Linked DNA regions of Lonchura striata. The protein of the gene in region 2 interacts with the protein of the main gene of each other region in a pairwise test. Links are inferred from orthologs where the notes say so. Each region holds a gene or a part of one and is shown on either strand. Other genes may lie near its edges.

Region 1 (8,065 bases), on a different chromosome or scaffold from region 2:
ACAGAATCTTAGTGATGAGGAATTACTCCATGATCACTGTTAACTCAGTCTCTTTGGACTCTCTATATTGGCATGCAGTTTATGAAGAAGTAAATATCAGGGAACAAAATACAATGAGAGATGTATGTAAGGTGATATGGGTTATTATAGACAATTTTATTATTCATTATGAATTCAGAAGGTAAACTTCTTAGTACAAGCACAGAATGCTTATATAGTATCATTTTCTCTTGAATGTCAGAAGAAAAAGGTTATACTGGCATAAAATATTCTTATTGTGACACAAACCATATCCACCAATCATCATGGTTGCTGAAAAATTGGATTACACTAAATGGAAAAAATAGACTGATACAAAAGAGTGCCTGGAACAGCTCTTTAATCTTTAAGCCACATCTTTAATTTTGCTGATTAGATGAGATTGTTCCATTTTTTAGTGAACTAGTTCAGGTTCTAACATCTTCAGTTTCCAAGGTTCAGTATCAATTTTAATCAGAGACAAAGGAGATTTCACTGCTCTTTAAGGGCTATGGTTATGGGTGTTAAACAGATAAGAAATTTATTTTCTCTCTTGAAATAGCCTATTTCTGAAGAATGGCATTGAGTGACCTCCTTTACCCAGATAATCCCAAAAGAAAGCAAGAACTGGTCCATCTGCATCAGGAATTGCTTGACAGTATGTCTACAAATTTCCATGCAACAAACGAACTGGTTGGAGTGCTGAATGAACACCTGAGCTGTACTATTACCCCCATTGAGATGCAAGAGAGCAGTACAGTCAAGGAAAACTGTGAGATTATCATTCAAGTGATGAATGAGATTCAGCATCAGGTGCAGAAGATTGATAGTGACATGAAGGACAAGCTCGAGCCAGTGCTGTACCAGAAACTATATGATATCAAAGAGCCTGAGCTGGAGAAAATTGCAATAGCCCAGAGAGTTTTTTCCATTATTTTTGGAGAAGCAACTTCAACAGCTGCAATGGTAGCTATCAAACTTCTTGGCTCCAATCATTTAACTCTCACTGTGAGCAAGCTCATTGGTCTCCTTGCACAGATTGGGGCATCTGTTCTTGGGGGAGTTAGTATTACCATTATTGGGCTTGGCCTTGAGATGATTCTCCATGCCATCCTGGGAGCTGTGGAGAGGAGTCAGCTTCTGACAGCTGTGAGAAGCTACGAGAAGCACCTGGCTGAGTTTAAAGCAGCCTCAGAAAAGTACCAGCGTGCCATACATGAAGTGACTTCTTTGGTGAGACAGCAAGTTCAGTAAATGGAGTTCTGTCTTCTGCTGCAGCAGCTTATGCCTGCAGAAACCTTTTTGATTCATTAGGACAAATTAACTACTGATGGCTTTTTATTTTCTTATTTGTGGCAGAAGAAGAAAAGTGATAGTTCAGGAAACTGGCATTGAAATATATTAGTAGAGAACTGATTTACAGATGTTTTGTGGGGGCAATGTTTAAAATGCTTTGCACCTTTCCTTAAGCTTATTTTCTGGGAAGCATCTTTAGTACAAACTGTAATTCATACTAGAGACAAGAATACAGACTGCTGGACTGGTAGTGGTGAGGTGTGTTTCTGTATCAAAGATGACAACAGAAAGGGAGAAAACAATTTCAACAAGGCAATTCATGCTAGCATCTGGAGGCTTTATGAAGACATCTGTGGTTGCTAAAGTCTTAGTGTGGTTTAGTGCTAAATCTGATAAACTGAATTAAATTACAAGGACTAGCTGAAGCATATTTAACTGCTATTTCCTGCCCTCCTAAGAAGCCAACCAGAGATCTTCTTTAAATAAACTATAATCCCAGTAGATTGGCAGGTAAGAGAAGCCTGGGCCTACATGCAAACAGACACAACCTTGCTCCATAACTGAGAGAAACCAGCTGCTGTGCTCTGGGTGTGAACAACCTCTCATACTTGTAATGCTCTGCTCCTGTCAACCTACATGTAAAAATTTCTGTGCAAAGTTGCTCGTCTGTTGATTGAAGTGGAATTATACACATGTATAAGTGCCTGTAGATTGCAGCCCTATTTAACTAAAGTTATTTTCAAGTGCCTTACCTGATCCCACCAATCTGGGACTGCCAAGAATGTGCTCAGATTCTGCATTTCACAATATGCTACCAACTGTCCTTATTTTCCAGATTTTTGCTCTGATATGCTGTGGATTGTTTTCTCTTGATCTTAGAAAAAAAAGGTAATTTAAGAATTAATAAAAATGTGCATGAGTATTGGAAGACTTCTCTGTACTTTTATTTTTTTATCTGAAAAACAATCTTAAACCAAATAATAAAGAAGTATTGAAAGCTTTATTATACATACAATTCATTTTTTTAAAATCCACAATAGACCAATCTAGTTATGCATAGGTTCCTTTTTTTAGTACCTGTTTCTCCCATACTAAAACCATGTCCAAATTCATACATGTTTCTAATATTCAATATTAGCAATCTCAATTTATTAACAACTAGATGGTGCCTATGAAATAAAGAAATGGGTGAGATTCACAGTTCTTCCACTCTGGGGTTTGGGGGGGTTGGTTTGTTTGTTTTGTTGGGTTTTACTTCTCCTCCATGTCTGTTCTCACTTCAATATTTTCTGACTCCTCTTTCCTTTTATGCACAAAAGCCACTAAATGGCAATGAAACTGCTGGTACCCAACAGCTCTGTCAAGTCATCATGGAGAAAGCCCAGGGTTCAGAAGCATAGATGGGTGCCAGAGCCCAGAGAAACTGGGACCAGCTGCAGACTGGGCTACGTGAGTCAGGAAAGGCACTTTAGTGGTGGCAAAAAGCACTGCCATGCCTACACGAGATATGGTGGTGGATGACGTGGTGACCTGAGGCATCACTTCTCCAAAATGTAACATCTCTTGTCTCCTGACACAAATGGCATTAAGTTAAGAGGTACTTCTGTAGAGACAAGAGACTGTCAGTCAGTAGAACAGCAATATCTCTGTGTTGGAGAGGTAGGAGTTCCTGGCTCCTGATTTCTATGTGCAAGTGTACACTCCAAACTAGGAATTAAAACCAGCTCTTTGAAAGATGGCCAATCACTGCTGTATAAAAATAGCGGAGCCAAATAAAAACAAATCTGTCATATTTTTTCAAGCAATTTGCCCACATGTTCTTGAGTGCAAATGCTAAGCAGTGTCAGGGGAAGTGAGGTATGCAATGAGGAACACAGAGGTAAAAAACTGCTACTCACCTCTAAGTATATCCTTGTTCCTGGTGGACTTAAAGGAAAGCGGATTTCCTCACAACAGATTTAATTCCTGCTCTCTCTAATGCTCTGGCCAGTCTTATGTTTGGTGCTCCAAAGATGCCATAACCAGTCTGTTGATATTTCCCCTCCAGACTCCTTCAAGCTGCCTCTCAGTGTGACAGAAGTAACAAGTGAAAACGTGAGAGGACTATTGTCCTCCAAATCAGCAGACACTGCTGTGAGAAAGCAGTCAGGGCTGAGGCAGCACCACTATCCCCAGAGGCCAGGATTGCCAGGACAGAAACCCCCAAGCCTTGTGAGGTGCAGCTAACCCTCAAAGACTCAGCCATCCCCCTCCACAGTGACATGGCACCTGACAGGGATGTGTGTGGCCACAGCTTTCCATCACATCCTCTTGAGCATTCTGCCTTTATTCAAGCTGTTGTTCTGGACAAAGGATTAAGGATAAAACTGTCATATATGTGTTCCAAATAAGAACAGCCTCAAAAAAACTTCAAACCAGTGTGAGCTGCTTCCAAACCTATAAAGAAAAACAGTACAGTTGCAACCAAAATCTGCCTGGCTGAATGTTCTCTCTGGTGGCAAGAATAATACAAAAAGAACATGCAAAGAGGCACAAGGTCGGGATGACCATGCTGTGCACGGATGACCATGCTGTGCATGGATGATCATGTGGTTAGCAAGACTCTGTAGGCACTAAGAGCTCCTGAAAACTTGGCTCTGAGGATACTCCTTGACTTTGTGCAGCTAGTGACTAAATGTTGGCTTCAATGTGATGTGTAGCTTATAGTCTTTTACCCATCGTGCAATGATCCTTACCAATTAGCCAAGAGAGTCTCCATTACTTGAAAAACTATGACAACATTGTGTTGAATGTTATGTGCACCAGGAGCAGAGAGTCTAGAAATCCTGCCCAAGCATCTGACCACCTCTGCTCTCAGATGCCACCTGTGCAGAGAAAAATTTCCTTCCTGCATCTCCTTTCCAACATGCTAGTTTTTTAAGCCTACACCCATAATTTATTGCTATTGATGTTTTGTGCATCTTCATCCAAGTTCTTAATGTGCTGTGGACGTTTACTGGAAATTCTGCTTTGGACAATGACACAAAACAGCTCCCACCAGGTGTTGACCAGCCTCACCAGTTCACCACAGTGGGGGCTGTAGGAAGAGGCAAACAACAGAATAGATTCTCTGGTGCCCGACAGCATAAAATGATCTCTTGTTCGCTTTGTACAGAGGGATCCCAGCCCCGCTGACAGGGGAGCAGCGCTGCCCGTGGCCAAGCCTACAACAAACCACGGGACAGGCCTCAGGCTGTGGGCAGCCCCTGCTCCCGCAGCGCTTCCCACTTATTCCCCATGGACAGAGGCTTCCCCCGCGTCCCTCGGCCCTGCCTTCTTTCAGGGCACTTTGTGGGATCTCTCCTGGAGGGCGCGGGGAGCAGGGCCGCGCTGGCCGCCTTCGCAGCTCTATTCCAGCACACGCCTCACACCGCGTGCGCCCAGAGGCGTCCAGAGCCCGCCAGGCCGGCCGGGCGATGCTCCCTAACTCCATCGCTACCGCTGCCTCCGTCTCTGTCTCAGCCCCTGTCTCTGTCCCTGCCCCGGCCCGTTCCCGCCGTCCCGCCCCTCTCCAGGCCCAACCATAGAGTTGGAGCCTCCGCGGGGCGCGAGGGGCGGCGGAACCATCGAGCTGCGGCGGAACCATCGAGCTGCGGCGGAACCATCGAGCTGCGGCCGCCGCTTCCGGCGCGCGGCTCCGCGCCGCCACTCCGTGCCGCTGCAAGATGGCGGCGGGGCCGCGGCGGCGGGCGCGGGGCTGAGCGAGGCCGCGGCAGCCGCGGGCAGCCGGAGCCGGGCCCGGCCGGGCGCAGCGGTGAGAGGGGCGCGGCGGTGCTGGGCTGCGAGGGAAGAGAGGCGAGGAGTTCGCGCTAGCTCGTTTTCTTCCTCCTACTATCGGGCGGGAGTAGGAGGGGGGGATTTCTGCCCCGTTCCCCTGTGGCCAAAAGAATAATTAATTTAGTGCTTGAGTGTATATTCTTTTTTTCACCTTCGGTCTTTAACTTGTTACGTTGAAACTCTTTAGTCTGGGTCCTTAGAAGATGTGAAATGTAGGTTTCGGAAGTTTGTTCTCTTTCCCTTTAGCCTTTACATATCAGAAAACTGGGAAATACGGGATGTAAGTGTAACTCCTACCTGTGTTTGGTGAGCTTCCCACCTAAGGAAGCGATAGTGGCTTGCAAAAGAAAAAAAACCAAACCCAACCCAGTCTTTTTGCAGGTTTGGAGGGGGAGGGAGAGAAAAAACATCCCTGGCTGTAGTTTGGACATTTATGTAGTCATCTGTAAGCCGGAGAAATATCTAACGACTGGAAATAATTTTTTGCAGAATAATCCTACACTTGCTGTACAGTGGGTGCTGGGGAGAGATATCAGAGGCAGTTAGAAGTCTGAGGAAGGAAGGAGATCTATGGGGAAACATTTGAAACAGAGAAAGGTGAAAACTGGAGAGCGCTTACAAGAATGAATGGGAAGCTGAACTCTGATACAGTCTTAGAAAAATATAATGTTAGTTTCTCCCTGCCCTGCACCCCTGCATAGTCTAAACACAAAGCTTTTTGGTTTGAATTGTAATGTGAATAATAACAAACTCATCAATTAGTTTAAAATTAGAATCTACTAAAGTAGTAGTAAGTAGGTACTGAGTTAAATAGTAGTACTTATTGCAGTAGGGCACTTTTGATATGGGTGCTGAGCTCATAGTCGGGTTTGAGGGCCTGAAAGGTATTTGGGCTCTTTGAGGGAGTAACTTGCTGATAGAAAGAAGACAAACAAGCATCCTCAAGCTGCCAGTGTGTAGGACCTGAAACCATGTCATCTTTTCCAGGTTCCTCTCTGTTAAGTTTCATTTTTTGAGGCAGAAGAAAACATATCAAAATGGGGCGGAGATCTACATCATCCACCAAGAGTGGGAAGTTTATGAATCCCACGGATCAGGCCCGTAAGTATACATAAAAGCTAAGCAGGTGGGAATGGGGAATGCCTAGAGCAAATAAAAAGCTTTCTCTGAGGATAGAATCCTCACTTGTGGATCAGAACTGTTTCTCTGAAAAATATTGTCTCAGTTTTATCTGGGAAGGCTGCTTGCTTTCATGCTCTTGCTTCTCTTAAGTATTTATCTCTTGGTTTTCCACTGGTTATCAGTGTTGGAAGGCCTTTGTACTTGGCTGTTGGATAAACTGCAGGCTGTTTCCTGGGACAGCGTTAATCTGTCCCAGGCAGGAATTTGAGGAACATGTCAAATTTTGCAGGTGCTCTGGTTAGATGGGGGAGTTGTCTTACTGGGTTTTTTCCTACTTTTGGTAACATGCCAGGTGTTATCAATGCTCAGTGAATAAAGAAAATCTGGACTCCCACAGTGGATATGCTTTATTTCAGAGGCATTCTCAAAGCCTACATTTTTTTAAAGTGTATTGTCTAATGACTCTGTTTCAGCTTCTGTGCAGCAATCTTTTCATGATTGCAACTATCACTATGACTTCAGTTGCCTATTGTTCTTTTTTGTATGGAAAAAAACCTTGCTTCTGGAGACATGAAGACTGCAGTATCTCTTTTTTTTTTCCGTATAAAAGATGAGAAACAGAAATCTATTTCATGCTATATTTCTTTTTCACTGGAAACCTGAATTGCAGTAAGTCTTTGTAAAAGGAGTGAACTGTTGAGAAACAGCCCTAGTCTTGATGAAGGAAGGTTCTTCATTAATTTTATTTTGTCGTTCAAGTTGTTACTTTCTTTTTCTTTTCTCCTCTAGGGAAGGAAGCTCGGAAAAGGGAACTAAAGAAGGTAAATAAAGAGATTAGGAAACATGTAGTTGGCTTTTCCTATACTACGTATCGTCTTTGTGATTGTAAAGGGCCATGAATAGACTGTGGATATTTTGGTTGATATTCTAAGACTGACTTTGGAAATACTATCCAGACATATAGTTCAAAAGCACATAGAAGTCTTGTTTGGAATAAACATATTCCCAGCTGTTCTTTAACTTGTAATTGTTTTTGAAACATTGCTGGAAGTACTTAATTATTAAAGAACCCAAAAACAAGAAAACAAAGAAGCAAGCAACATACCAAAAAAAAAAAAAAAAAAATCCAAATAAATAAAGCATCCAAGAGTCACACACTTCTTAGTGTGTTCTAATGTATTTTGTAAGTTGTTACTGTGTTGATTGCATGTGTCTTAGTTGGAGTGAAGGAATGATAGCAGCATTTGCAATTACCAAGATAATGGAATTAAAATTACCAGAAGTTTCAGCTACATTTTCTGCTGATTTGTGCCATGGTGAACGTTTTCAGGGCATTCTGCGGTGTGATTTTTTTTTCCTCAGACTGGAAATACTGAGAAAGTGGTAACAGATGTTTTGTGTCTTTCTACTGTGAAACTTTTCTATCTGCTTGATCTCTGGTCTTAGAACAAAAAGCAACGGATGATGGTCCGAGCAGCTGTACTGAAGATGAAAGATCCAAAGCAGATTATCCGGGACATGGAAAAGTTGGATGAGATGGGTGAGTGAGAGGTACCAGGTGTTGGACTTAGGCAGTTGTTCATGTAGATGCACAGTGTAGTTTTAACTACTGATGGGGGAGACTGAAATAGAGCAATCTTTTCCTGTTAGAAGTGGGGATTCTGTGAATATCTGAGGATTGATTATGATTTGAGGTGTTGTGGTGCTATCAAAGAGTATTTTTTTCCAAGAAGGTGATTGATCAGAAAAACGAGTAGTGTGTGTGAGTGCTGCTAATGTAGAATTCAAGGAGGGGATTGTCATAAGGCTGAAG
Region 2 (7,570 bases):
GGAGGCAGTTTGTTCTTCTTCGCCTTCTTCTTCATGGGTTTGGATGATATCTCATAATCGGGCAGGAGTCCTCATTGCGGGCTTCAAAGGATCAGTTATTGGTTAAAAGGTAAAATAATCTAAGTGTCATTTCTTAATTGGACAGTTTAGTCTTAAAAAACCTTGTAACAAGAGATTGTTGGCCATTTTTGCGGTGCTTTTCCAGCGTGCAGAGTCTGGTATAGATGGCGTGCAAAACTTTTGATAAGGTAACAATAAACAAGAAGCTGAAGATCAAAAAAGTCCTGTGCATCTCCTTTTCCTGACACAGAACAGCTCCAGAAGGGTTTTCCCCCTGACAGGGGAACCCCGAGAGAGGAGCCCAACGTGGGGCAAAGAAACCGATATATTAGCTATGGGCCCCTATCAGACTATAAACTTCACCAAGTCAGTATTCCCTGTAAATCCAAGGTTTACTGAAAGAAAGCAACACCCGGCACCCAAATCTTGAAATTTGAAGTGCTAGGGCTTAATTGTAAGACTCAACTTTCTATAGTCTTACAGTGACAACTCTATTTTCCTGCCACGTGTGCATTCATTTCTAAGGTAAATATGTTGAGCACTACTCAACAATCCACTCAGTGGGATGCAAAGAAACTGTTGTTTGAAAAACTATTTCCATGGACAAGAGCAACAAGTCTGCCAGCTCACAACTGTGAGGCAAAGCAGTGCACCTGAAAGGTGTCTAAACAGTATTTTTTTCCATGAGACCTGATTACTGGCTACTTCCCAAGCTAGAGGGACAAACAAGGGTAAGGGAAGAACATTGATGCAAACACACATTATGGGCCATGATGACATCTATCCCCCTGCAGGCAGGTAACTGTTACCTGTTTCGCTCATAACTTCTGTGATGAGGCGATATCCTTCCTCTCTCATAATCCGTCCGGTGCCGACTGCTTTCCTGCCTCCTCCTATCCGGACTGCGGCCCCGATCCCGACGATCCCCGTGGTTGGCGGAGCGATGCCTGTCGCCGTGAATGTGCCCGTGCTCGCGGTGCCGGTGCTCATCGTAGTGCTTGCTCCTGTCAGGGGAGCGCCGGTCGCTTTGGGACTTCTCTCCCTGGTACTGCCCCGTGTGCCTGAAGTGGCTGCTGCTGGCGCTGCTGCCGGCAGCGCTGCTCGGGAAGGAGCCGGAGCTGTGCTGGTAGCTGCTGAAGCTGGGCGGCGGGAACGACTGCTGCGAGTAGCCTGCCGAGTACACGGGCTGGTAGCTGACTTGCTGCGGCATGACTGGCGGCGGGGGAGGGTGTGGTACCGTGGGGGGAGGCATCATGTAAGGAAAGGTGCTTTGTCCAGCAGGTGCTCCTGGCACGGGAGTGTTGCTAGGGTTTGGCACTGGTGGAGGAGTGGGTGGGAAACATGGAGGCACTGGGAAGCTCTGCCTCATCTGGTGGTTTGGAAATGGTGGCCTCATGGGACACTGGCTGATGGGATTTTGTGTGGAAGGGGGCACTGGAGGAGGATAGGGCACAAAGTCTGGCCTGGGAGGCATGTAACCGGTGGCTGGAGGGTTGGAGTAGGTTGTTGGAGGGGCAGTTTGCTGCTCATACTGGTACTGCACGGAGGGCTGCTGTGGGTGGAGCTGCCGGAGGTTCTGAGGGCGGTAGGTCTGTGTTGAAGTCCTTGCTCCTGGTCCCCCCTGGCCACGGGGACATCCTCGCCCAGAATGGAAAGACATGGCTCACCTTTATTGAGGAAAATAAAAATGCAGTGTCACACAGTTTTTGTAAGATGTCTTCAATGCATCTGCAGGAGCTACTCCTGAAGTGCTGACACTGCAGTTTCCTTTAACAGAAGCAATAAATGATATCCACTTTCACTGGGAGCTTTGTGCTCCTCAGACATTTAGTGCAGGCCATTTATGCCCCTTTAGATTCCTTCAAGCCTCTAATCCATGAAAGCACTTACTGTCTTCAAGCCAGAACGCAAGCTGGATCATGCTTTACGAGTTAGGGCAATGTAATTTCAACAAATTATTGTAATGATGGCAGGTCAAGGATACAAGCACCTCCACTAGGACTTTGACACTTTGATATAAAACCTTTGGATACCCCACACCAAAGAAATCACTCATTATTATAACTGCAGTGGTTATCCAAAGTTGTGTAAGAAGTTCTCTCTAGAACACAATTCTAAATTTTGGGCAGAATGACTTGACTAACAAATCTTTGGATGCCTCCTGGCCAAACAAATCATGTCAACTTTAAATTAAATACTAGCTTGCTATTGAGTCCCCAGTGTACTAAAGACTGAATTCAACAGACCCTTCAAACTCTTTTAAGTGAGGTACGTATATTTTTGTGGAAAAACAGGTTACACATCTTGCAGGTTATGAAAAAAAAAATCATGCAGACTGTGCTATTCCTTAATTTTCACTGAAATAAATGATTCCAAATAAATCCCTCAACTGCCTTCTTGACCCTGTTACCCTTGAGAAACCATCACTGCTTAAAGTAGGTTTAAGTGTTGCTCAAAACAAGGCATGTATTTAAGGCATTAACATTTATAAATGAAAGCACTGTGCTTCATTAAAGTTTAAATTGATTTTTTAATTGCAATGGTAAGTTTCAAAACCTGAAAAAAGGAGAAAAAACACTTAAGAAAATTTATGGCTGGAACGGAAGGAGAGGTGAAAAAAATGATCTAAGCACCTCCAGAAGTCAAATCCTGTTTTCTGTAAGGGGAAGTGAGAAAGAAAGGGGAGACACACACAATTGGAAAGATCACCAGAAAAAAGAAACAAAGCCTCCCTTTCTCTGAGGCTTTGCTGATGCTGAAGAATACACATGCACAGAATATTCTCCCACCTGCTATAGTGCAACATGGCCAACCTGGACTGCTCAGAGCACTGCTCTCAGCCACATTCCGGTGACACTGTAGTAAAAGTTGCAGCACTTGCTGAGAGAAAGCAGACAGCTTCTGGTGAACTGGAGGGAGAAAGGAAACGAAACACAGGGGCAAAGGACGGATAGCAAAGATGAGGAATCAAGAGGACCCTCCTTACACATGCAGTGCTTAGTGGAAGCCACTGGAATTGGTGGTAGTATTCCCTCTCCAGAACAATCAAGTGCCAATGTGAGTGTGATTCCCACACTATGAGGAGATAGCAGCCATGATGGTATAAAGCCACGTGTTCCTTCCAGTCAGCCTGCACCTGCTCAGTACCCTCTAATATTCTAAGGGCTCTCAAAAAAAAAAAAAAAAAAAAAAGTCACAACCAGGGGAGAAAAAAAAAAGTCAACATCCATTTTGTCTGGCAATAGCATACCCTTTTGATATTACTGACTATAATCCATCAGATGCTGAATTAACTTTGCTTTGGTTCTCCTGCTGTGCTCTTACACAACTCAGGCTTGTAACAGAAGACTGTTTTAGACTTTGCTAATGCTCCCATACACATGTTATTTAAACAGGCTGTACCACAGTGCCTTATCTTTAGGTGCGTTTCTTTCTAACATGTCACAGCATTCAAAAAAACAGTCTTGTTTATCAGCTCACAGACCTTCCCAATGCCAGAGAACTGCTCTTGATCTATTACTTTAATTTTAGTCCTTCAGCAAGCCCAGAATCACAATTGGAAAAAAAGATTCAAAAAGACACGGAACTATTTTACATGCCCAAACTATTTTAAAGCTCCCTCTGCTGCAAACGCAAGTCACATTAAACTTCAAAAACACAAAAAAGAGCAAACTCCCCTTCCCCTGTCACCTAAAGAGGAATTTTATTGCACCAATAGGAGCCATTGCATTCTAAAGCAGCACTGGTCCCCTAAAAAACACTGAATAAACTCATCTCTCCCTGCAGATGCACTGCTGAGAGCAACAGGGCACTGACACATCGAGAAGAGAGCACTGAGAGGGGACATCATCAATGCCTGTAAGTACCTAAGAGAGGGTATCAAAAAGGCTGGATTCAGGCTCTTCTAGTGCCGTGCAACAGGCACGAGAGTGAACGGACAGAAGCCGATGCACAGGAAGTTCCACCGGAACATGAGGAAGAACTTCTTTAACTGTGCGGGAACGGATTCCAGAGAGGCTGCGGCGTGTCCCTCACTGGAGATACCCAGGAACTGTCCGGACGCAATCCTGTGCCATGTGCTCTGGGATGACCCTGCAGGAGCAGGAAGACTGGACCAGGCAACCCACTGTGGTCCCTTCCGACCTGACCCATCCAGTACCACCGGCCTCGCCCCACCGGCGCCTCCCGCCGGCCCGGGGGCACGGAGCCGCCGAGCCGCCCCTGCCGGGCCCCGCTGCCCGCGCCAGCCCGGCCCCGCCAGCCCCGCGGAGCCGCCGCGCTCCCGACCCCGCGACCCCTGCGGAGCTCCACGAGCAGCGCGGAGCGCCCCGAGGCGGCCCCGCCGCCGCCCCGCGGGCAGCCCGGCACGCCGAGCCCGCCCGGCACGCCGAGCCCACCTGGCGCCCTCGCCGCCGCCGAGCCCAGCGCCGCCCGCAGCGCCCGGCTCCGGAACAGGAAAGCGATGGGAGGCGCTGCGGGCGGAAGCGCCGCCCGCCCGAGGGGAGCGGCGGCATGAGCGGAGCGGAGCCGCGGCTCGGCGATGCCGCCCGGCCCCGCGGGGCCTCCCGGCGGCGGTACCCGGCCCTGCCCGTCTGGGTGGTGGAGGACCACCAGGACGTGAGTGCCCCGCGCTGGGCTGCCGGGGGATGGGGACTGCCATGGGGAGGGTTTCCTTTGTTCCTGCCTGCGTGTGTGCTGGTGTTTCTCCGCGGCGCGGATGCTCAGAGGGGCAGGAGGAAGCGAAGAGAGGTGCCCGGTGCGGTCACCGGCGGCCTCCCGGGAGACGCTTTCCCGTACGTGTGCGGCTTCTCCGGGCGCTTCCCGGGGAGCGGCCCTCCCCTCCGCAGCCGCACACAAACCCCAAAGCCGCCTTCCCTTCCGCCCTGAAACATCAATGAACTTCAGCGCCCAGGTGGCCCGATTTTCCTTCCCGATTGACTTATTGCCATGATCGCATTTTGGCATTTTTAAAAGCAATTATTGCTGACTGCTTTTTCTTCTTTTGTAATTGAACCACACCAATTGCTGTGGTTTAAAGGAGATAATACCTACATTACACTGCTGTTTTAATTTGCTGGCTATTAGTGGGGTGCTTGGAAACTCAACCCTACCCAGTGTATGACATGTCAGCAGAGTATAAGTAAATATAATCCTATCCCATCTAGTAGATTGACTCCCACTTGATGAGGAATGTTAAAAATCTGGAGCTTTGCCTTTTTTTTTGTGGAGTCATTGAAAAAGGGAGTGAAGAAGGAATTGCTTTAGAATTGCTGTTTCTGGTTTCTCATGGGGTTTTTTATAATAGCATAAACTGAGGTTTTAATCCTAAAATAACAGATTCTTTACTTGGTTATTTGCAAAGAGAAAATGTTAGTGTAGTAAAGTGTTTTAAAGACAATAATGTTACAAATTTGTTAGTAGTTTAATACCGTTCATTTTTGTAAAGACTCGCTGAATACAGGATGCTGTGACAGCTGATTTTTACAGCTCTAAGTAGCCAAGGACTTAGAGTGTCAGTGTGGTAGGAATTCTGAGATAATACCTCTTAATGATCCTTCTTTACTTTAGTCTCTATATTTCTGGTTTTAGTCAGCTTAAAGTTATATTAATACTATATATTTAATTTAAAACATTTTCAGCACAGGAGTGTGGATTAATTGGTCTATCTTGCATAAAACATAATGGCTTTTTGTCCCGAAGTGGAAGAACTTCACAGAAGTTTTGATATCAGCCTTGCTGATAGTGATGTTCCTCCAGAGCAAGTTGTCAGTAGCTGCATCATGCACTGATTAATAATAACAGCTGTCATGAAGGAAATTTTGTTCTTAGTCCAAATCAGGAGAATTTGCAAGGTTAGAGAGGTTAGTCTTTCCTGTCTCTTGCAACCAGTAGTTGCACTTACCTGAGGTGAAGCTTCAATTTTAATTGAAAATACTGTATGTTATTTAGTAGGCCAACTTGCTTCTTTGTTACAAAAAAGTAAAAGCCATGCAACAGGAAACCCATGTTGGTTTTAATCTTGTTTTATCTATTGTTGCAATAATATACATATGTTTTACGGTTATGCCTATGCAGTATGCAGGGTTTATCATCTTAATCAGTTTTATGCCAAAAAAGTAGCTCAGTTGCTTTTGTAATGCAGAGGTCACATATATTTTTTGTTGCTTCTTACAGTCTTCACATTCCCTGTATAATAGTGCTGTCATTCACAATCCTTGTTGGATTTGCTCTGATAGCCAAGGCAGTTGATTCTCTCTAACTGTGGAAGAGCCTCTGTGAGCTCCAAGAGAAAACAGCCATCAGTTTTCTCATTTTTACCACCCCATATTATTGCAGTTCAGTGGTTTGCTATTCCTGTAAATTGGTGAGTTGCTTCATCTCCTGTTTTTCACCTATCTGAGTGAAGAACTTCAGCAGAGAATAAAGTTGGACAGGTAAGAAAGATAGTCTCTATTGCAAGCAGTAATGGAAGGATTAGGAATTAATTCTCCAAGAGGAATAGGTTTAATGATCAGCTGAAGTTTAAATCATGGTGGCGTCAGTTTTCAGTCTATATCATTTAACTTATAAAACATAAGGAGCAAACTGTTTTTATCTCCATAGCACCAGTGCATGGTGAGAAAGCTTTATAGCATGGGAAAAGAAGTACAAGGCCAATGATCTGCAGAAGAGGAAAGGCATTCCTGAGTCTTCGGTGTAAATGGAAAAAAAACCCCTCAAACATCTAGGAATAGAGTTGAATGGCTAGTGAGAAGAGCTACTGCAGACAAGACTTCCTATAAAGAAGGAAAAAGGGTGTAAGGCTGTGACTTTTCAGCAGTTTCTCATCTGGAGCACTTGGGCTTATAATGATTACTGTTCACGAGTTGTCTTGCCACTGGAGTTATTTTCCCTCTGTATTGTTTTCTGTCTCATCCTCCCTCTAATAAAATTCTAAAGGAATAAAAGTGGTACTGGTGGTTTTGCTGCTAAAGCTGTTGCATTTTTCAGCTCACTGACTATCATTAAAATGTTTTTATTCATGTTGCTTTAGGTGCTGCCTTTCATCTATCGTGCCATTGGTTCAAAGCATCTTCCTGCCAGTAACATCAGTTTTGTTCATCTTGATTCCCATCCAGACCTTCTCATTCCTGTGAATATGCCTGCAGACACAGTATTTGACAAAGAAGCTCTTTTTAGGCAAGTCCTGGGTACTGCATCAGAGTAGACTTTAAGTCTAATTCTTGCTGCCTTTGATTCACAGTGATTATTGCTATGACTGCTTAGGAGGGATGAACAAAAGTGATATAAGTCACATTCAAGTTGCATCTTCTGTCTTTTCACTTTTGCTGAAACTTTATTTTTTAATGGCAAAAGTTACATTGCGTATCAAGCAATTTAAGATGCATGACGTTGCTTTGTGTATTGACTCAATAGTGTATGATGGTATTAAGCCAAATGTTTCTTCTGGGTAACAGGAAAGCACTCTGGATGCTTTGTCTGAAAAGCTGTAATTACAAGCTGATGCATT
Region 3 (5,761 bases), on a different chromosome or scaffold from region 2:
CCCAAGGGTCCTCGAGGGTCCCTGAGGGTCCCCGAACATCCCCGAGGGTCCCCCAGCGTCCCCAAGGGTCTCCGAGAGTCCCCAAGGGTCCCCCGGTGTCCCTGGGGTCCCCAAGGGTCCCTGAGGGTCCCCGAGCATCCCTGAGGGTCCCCCACTGTCCCCGAGGGTCCCTGAGGATCCCCCGCTGTCCCCGAGCGTCCCCAAGGGTCCCCGGGTGTCTCCAAGGGTCCCCGAAGGTCCCCTGGTGTCCCCTGCTGTCCCCTCGGGGCCTCCTCTCATGTCCCCATGTCCCACCGGCACTTCCCATGCCCTGTGTCTGCTGCTGGGTTGTCCCCAAGTCCCCTCGGGGTGTCCCCACCGTGTCCCTGAGTCCTCTCATGGTGTCCCCACCGTGTCCCCCCTCCATCCCTGTCCCCAGGTGTCCCCATGGTGTCCCCAGGTCCCCTCAGGGTGTCCTCATGGTGTCCCCAAGTCCCCACGGTGTCCCCAGCCTGTCCCTAAGCCCCTGTGGGGTGTCCCCAGCCCTGCTGGGCATGTCCCCACATGTCCCCACATGTCCCCACATGTCCCCGCGTGTCCCCACATGTCCCCGCGTGTCCCCGCGTGTCCCCGCGTGTCCCCGCATGTCCCCAAGTGACCTCACGTCCCGCGGGCTCTGTCCCCAGCCCTACCACACCCTGTGCCATGTGCTGGCGTGTCCCCAGATTGTCCCCAAGCCCCTCAGGCTGTCCCCAAGCCCCTCAGACTGTCCCCAGGCCCCCTCAGACTGTCCCCAGGCTGTCCCCAAGCCCCTGAGGGTGTCCCCAGGCTGTCCCCAAGCCCCCTCAGACTGTCCCCAGACTGTCCCCAAGCCCCTGAGGGTGTCCCCAGGCTGTCCCCAAGCCCCCTTGGTGCATCCCCCACCGTGTCCCCTCTTGTCCTCACGATGTCCCCGTGTCCTACAGACCTTTCCCCTGCCCTGTGCCAGTGCTGGGCTGTCCCCAGGTGTCCCCACACTGTCCCCAAGTGTCCCCAAATGTCCCCAAGCCCCGTAGGCGCTTCCCCCACCCCTACTACAGCCTGTGCCTTGTGCCGGGCTGTCCCCAAATGTCCCCTGGTATCCCGAGGTGTCCCCAGGTGTCCCCACACTGTCCCCAGGTGTGCCCAAATGTCCCCAAACCCCCGCAGGCACTTCCCCCACCTGTGCCTTGTGCCGGGCTGTCCCCACACTGTCCCCTGGTATCCTGAGGTGTCCCCAGGTGTCCCCACACTGTCCCCAGGTGTCCCCCAAATGTCCCCAACCCCGCAGGCACTTCCCCCACCCCTACTACAGCCTGTGCCTTGTGCCGGGCTGTCCCCACACTGTCCCCAAGTGTCCCCAAATGTCCCCAACCCCCGCAGGCATTTCCCCCACCTGTGCCTTGTGCCGGGCTGTCCCCAGGTGTCCCCCACATTGTCCCCAAATGTCCCCAAACCCCGCAGGCACTTCCCCCACCCCTACTACAGCCTGTGCCTTGTGCCGGGCTGTCCCCACACTGTCCCCTGGTATCCCGAGGTGTCCCCAAGTGTCCCCACACTGTCCCCAGGTGTCCCCCAAATGTCCCCAACCCCGCAGGCACTTTGTCCACCTGTGCCTTGTGCCAGGCTGTGCCCAAATGTCCCCTGGTATCCTGAGGTGTCCCCAGGTGTCCCCACACTGTCCCCAAATGTCCCCAAATGTCCCCAACCCCCCATAGGCACTTCCCCCACCCCTACTACAGCCTGTGCCTTGTGCCGGGCTGTCCCCACACTGTCCCCAGGTGTCCCCAAATGTCCCCAACCCCCCATAGGCACTTTCCCCACCCCTACTACAGCCTGTGCCTTGTACTGGGCTGTCCCCACATTGTCTCCACACTGTCCCCAAGTGTCCCCACACTGTCCCCAAGTGTCCCCAAATGTCCCCAACCCCGCAGGCACTTCCCCCACCCCTACTACAGCCTGCGGCTGCACCTGCCCGGCTCCAACGCCTCGGCGCGGCTGCTGGTGCTCGACTCGGTTCTGCTCTGCGGCCGCGGCGACGATTTCGGGCGGGGCCCGGCGGGGCCGCGGGACGCGGCGGCGGCGGCGGCGCAGCTCCGCTGGCTGCGGGCGCAGCTGGAGGCGGCGGCCGCCGAGCGCTTCGTGCTGGTGGCCGGGCACTACCCGCTCTGGTCCGTGGGCAAGCACGGCCCCACGCCCTGCCTGCTGCGCCTGCTGCGCCCGCTGCTGCGGCGCCACCGCGTCAGCGCCTACCTGTGCGGGCACGACCACAACCTGCAGGTGAGGCACCGCAGGGTGACGGGGTGCCGGGGTGACAGGGGTGCCAGGGGTGCGAGGGCCGGGTGATGGGGTGCCAGGGGTGCCAGGGGTGCGAGGGCCGGGTGATGGGGTGCCAGGGTGCCAGGGGAGGGAGGGCCGGGTGATGGGGTGCCGGGGTGCCAGGGGTGCCAGGGGTGAGAGGGCCGGGTGATGGGGTGCCAGGGTGCCAGGGAAGGGATGGCTGGGGGTGCCAGGGGTGCGAGGGCCGGGTGCCAGGGGTGCCAGGGGTGCGAGGGCCGGGTGATGGGGTGCCAGGGGTGCGAGGGCCGGGTGATGGGGTGCCAGGGTGCCAGCGGAGGGAGGGCCGGGTGATGGGGTGCCGGGGTGCCAGGGGTGCCAGGGATGCGAGGGCCGGGTGATGGGGTGCCAGGGTGCCAGGGGTGCCAGGGGTGAGAGGGCCGGGTGATGGGGTGCCAGGGTGCCAGGGAAGGGATGGCTGGGGGTGCCAGGGGTGCGAGGGCCGGGTGACAGGGGGTACCAGGGTGCCAGGGGTGCCAGGGGTGCGAGGGCCGGGTGACAGGGGGTACCAGGGTGCCAGGGGTGCCAGGGGTGCGAGGGCCGGGTGCCAGGGTGCCAGGGGTGCCAGGGGAGGGAGGGCCGGGGGTGCCAGGGTACCAGGGTGACAGGGGAGGGAGGGCCGGGGGTGCCAGGGGTGTCAGGGGAGGGAGGGCTGGGGGTGCCAGGGGTGCCAGGGGAGGGATGGTTGGGTGCCAGGTGTGCCAGGTGAGGCACAGCCAGATGTGCCAGGTGAGGGATGGCCGGGGGTGCAGGGACACCAAAACTGTTCAGGGACACCCAACGCTGTTCAGGGACACCAAAGCTGTGCAGGGACACCCAAAGGTGCTCGGGGACACCCAAGGGTGCTCGGGGAGCCCCAGACCCCCCGGTGTCTCCCCGCAGTACCTGGAGGAGGGGGGCGTGGGCTACGTCCTGAGCGGCGCCGGCAACTTCATGGAGGACTCGCAGCCCCACGCGGGCTCGGTGCCCCCCGGCGCCCTCCGGTTCTTCTACGGGAGCGCCGCCAGCCCCGGCGGCTTCGCCCACGTGCGCCTGGAGCCCGCCGCCGCCACCGTCACCTTCCTGGAGGCCACCGGGCGCGTCCTGCACCGCGTCACGCTGCCGCCGCGCCACCCGTGACCGGGACCGGGGACGGCGGGACAGCGGGGCACCGGGACAGCGGGAGAGCGGGAGAGCGGGGCAGGGGGACACCGGGAGAGCGGGACACCGGGACAGCGGAGAGCGGGGACAGCGGGAGAGCGGAGAGCGGGGCACGGGGACACCGGGAGAGCGGGACACCGGGACAGCAGGACACCGGGACAGCGGAGAGCGGGGACAGCGAGACACCGGGAGAGCGGGACACCCGGAGAGCGGGACATCTGGACAGCGGGGACAGTGGGGACACCAGGACAGCGGGACGCGGGGACACCGGGATCCGTTCCCTGGGGACATCGGGAACACCGGGACCCCTCCCTGGGGACGCCCCGAGACCGCCGAGTCCCCCCGGGGGACACCGGCACCGCTGCCTTCGGGGACATCCCGTCAACTCTGACCCCTTGGGGACACCGGGGACCGGACACTGCCCGCCGGCCCCGCCCGGTTGCCCCGTGCCGCCAATAAAGGCTTTGAAGGGCGCCGCCGGACCCGAAACCACCGCGATTCACCCCAAAACCGCGATGGGCGGGGTCCGGCAGGGCTGGCCACGCCTCCCACCCGTTGATTGGCTGAAATGCGCGTCCATCACTCACTGAGTGGGCGGGACAGAGTCTCTCGGTTCGCCGCTGGTGATTGGCTGGGGCGCTGTTCTTATCAACCAATGAGCGGGGCGTTTTCGGGTCACGTGGGGAAGAGCGCGCCGTTCCCGCCGCTGATTGGCTGAGGGCGGAGGGGCGGCACTTCCGGGATCGCGGCGGGAGCGCGGCGTGAGGACCGGGAGGGACCGGGGGGCACCGGGGGGCACCGGGGGAGGGTCCAGCCGTCCTCGGCACGTCCCGCAGCGGGTCGGGGCCACTCCGAGCCGGCTCCCGGGGCCGATCCCGGTGTGGTTCCCCTTCCCGAGGCCGTTCCCGGTTCTGGGCTCCGGTGCGGCCGCCATGGGCCGCCGCAAGTCGAAGCGAAAGCCGCCGCCCAAGAAGAAGATGACGGGGACGCTGGAGACGCAGTTCACGTGTCCCTTCTGCAACCACGAGAAGTCCTGCGACGTCAAGATGTGAGCGCGGGACACCGGGCACCGGGGGGACACCGGGGGGCACCGGGGACGGGACACGGGGATGGGCGGCAGCGCGGGAAGAACGACGGAGAAACCCGGGGGGGAAGCGGAGAGCGGAGACATGGACGAGGACACCGGGCGGGGGTGCCGGTACCGCGGAGGGGACACCGGGCGAGGGGACACCGGGAGTGTGGCGGGGGGGATCGGGACGGAGCCCGGAGGGGTCACGCCCGTCCCGTGCCTCGCAGGGACCGCGCCCGGAACACCGGGGTGATCTCGTGCACCGTGTGCCTGGAGGAGTTCCAGACCCCCATCACCTGTATCCTTACCGGGACCCCCCTCGGGACACCCCCGGGACCCCTCCGGGACCCCCCGAGTCGGTGTTGGAGCCTTAACGGCGCCGCCAGACCTGTCGGAGCCCGTGGACGTTTACAGTGACTGGATCGACGCCTGCGAAGCCGCCAACCAGTGACCCCGGGGGGGCGGCGGGGACACCGCCCGCTCCCCAAACTCCCGGCGGGGTCAGGGACCCCCCCCCGGGCCCGGTGACAGCCCCGGAGCCGGTGCGGGGGTGGCATCCCCCCCTCCCCCCGCGTCCGGCACTTGTCCTCGTCCCCGTGGGGACACCGGGGCGGGGGGCGACGCGTTTGGGGACAGCGGCCCCGGAATAAATGCCCCGAGTGGTGGCCCTGGTCCTCCCTGTCCCTTTGTCCCCCATTGTCCACCCCATCCCCGCCGCCCCGGTGTCCCCCCGGTGTCCCCCGGTGTCCCCCGGTGTCCCCCAGCACGGTCCCACGGCGCTGTCACCTCTGCGTGTGGCTTTTATTGTGCCTCGGTGGCTTCACACGTGGCGGGGCCCGAACCCCCCGGGGCCGAACCGGGGACCAAACCCGGGGGTGATCCCGGGACTGAACCCGGGGCCAGCCCAGCCCTGGCCCCGCCCGGGGCCGGTCCCGGGATTGTCCCACCGGGGCCGGTGCCGAGTGCTGCCCCCCCACCCCGGGAGCCATCGCGGGGCCGATCCCGGGGCCGGTTTCCCCTGGGATTAATCCCGGGGCCGGTTTCCCCTGGGGCAATCCCGGGGCTGGTTTCCCCCAGGGCCGATCCTGGGGCCGTTTTCCCCTGAGATCGATTCTGGGGTGGATTCCAGGGCCGGTTTCCCCCGGGGCCGGTCCCCCCGGTGCCAGCCCCGGGGTCGGTTCCCCTGCGATCGATCCCAGAGCTGATCCCGGGGACAGT

The links.
Region 1: the proteins of C1H5orf22 (region 2) and WBP11 interact in binary tests that used the Homo sapiens proteins (3 or more experiments, as listed by UniProt). The two-hybrid records come from large-scale screens. The link is inferred for Lonchura striata from reciprocal best matches to the Homo sapiens genes C5orf22 and WBP11.
Region 3: the proteins of C1H5orf22 (region 2) and ELOF1 interact in binary tests that used the Homo sapiens proteins (3 or more experiments, as listed by UniProt). The two-hybrid records come from large-scale screens. The link is inferred for Lonchura striata from reciprocal best matches to the Homo sapiens genes C5orf22 and ELOF1.

Annotation. Positions count from the first base shown.
Region 1 is NC_134607.1:56,791,211-56,799,275, forward strand, and holds the start of WBP11 (WW domain-binding protein 11), read left to right. Parts: upstream 1-5,034; 5' UTR 5,035-5,107; intron 5,108-6,117; 5' UTR 6,118-6,167; coding exon 6,168-6,231; intron 6,232-7,041; coding exon 7,042-7,073; intron 7,074-7,698; coding exon 7,699-7,792; intron 7,793-8,065. Other genes in the region: SMCO3 (single-pass membrane and coiled-coil domain-containing protein 3), read left to right, coding at 595-1,272. UniProt on the Homo sapiens protein: Activates pre-mRNA splicing. May inhibit PP1 phosphatase activity.
Region 2 is NC_134603.1:97,753,164-97,760,733, reverse strand, and holds the start of C1H5orf22 (UPF0489 protein C5orf22 homolog), read left to right. Parts: upstream 1-4,550; 5' UTR 4,551-4,572; coding exon 4,573-4,677; intron 4,678-7,093; coding exon 7,094-7,239; intron 7,240-7,570. Other genes in the region: DROSHA (ribonuclease 3), read right to left, coding at 870-1,720.
Region 3 is NC_134623.1:1,323,852-1,329,612, forward strand, and holds ELOF1 (transcription elongation factor 1 homolog), read left to right. Parts: upstream 1-4,172; 5' UTR 4,173-4,406; coding exon 4,407-4,522; intron 4,523-4,770; coding exon 4,771-4,841; intron 4,842-4,929; coding exon 4,930-4,994; 3' UTR 4,995-5,224; downstream 5,225-5,761. UniProt on the Homo sapiens protein: Factor involved in transcription-coupled nucleotide excision repair (TC-NER), a mechanism that rapidly removes RNA polymerase II-blocking lesions from the transcribed strand of active genes.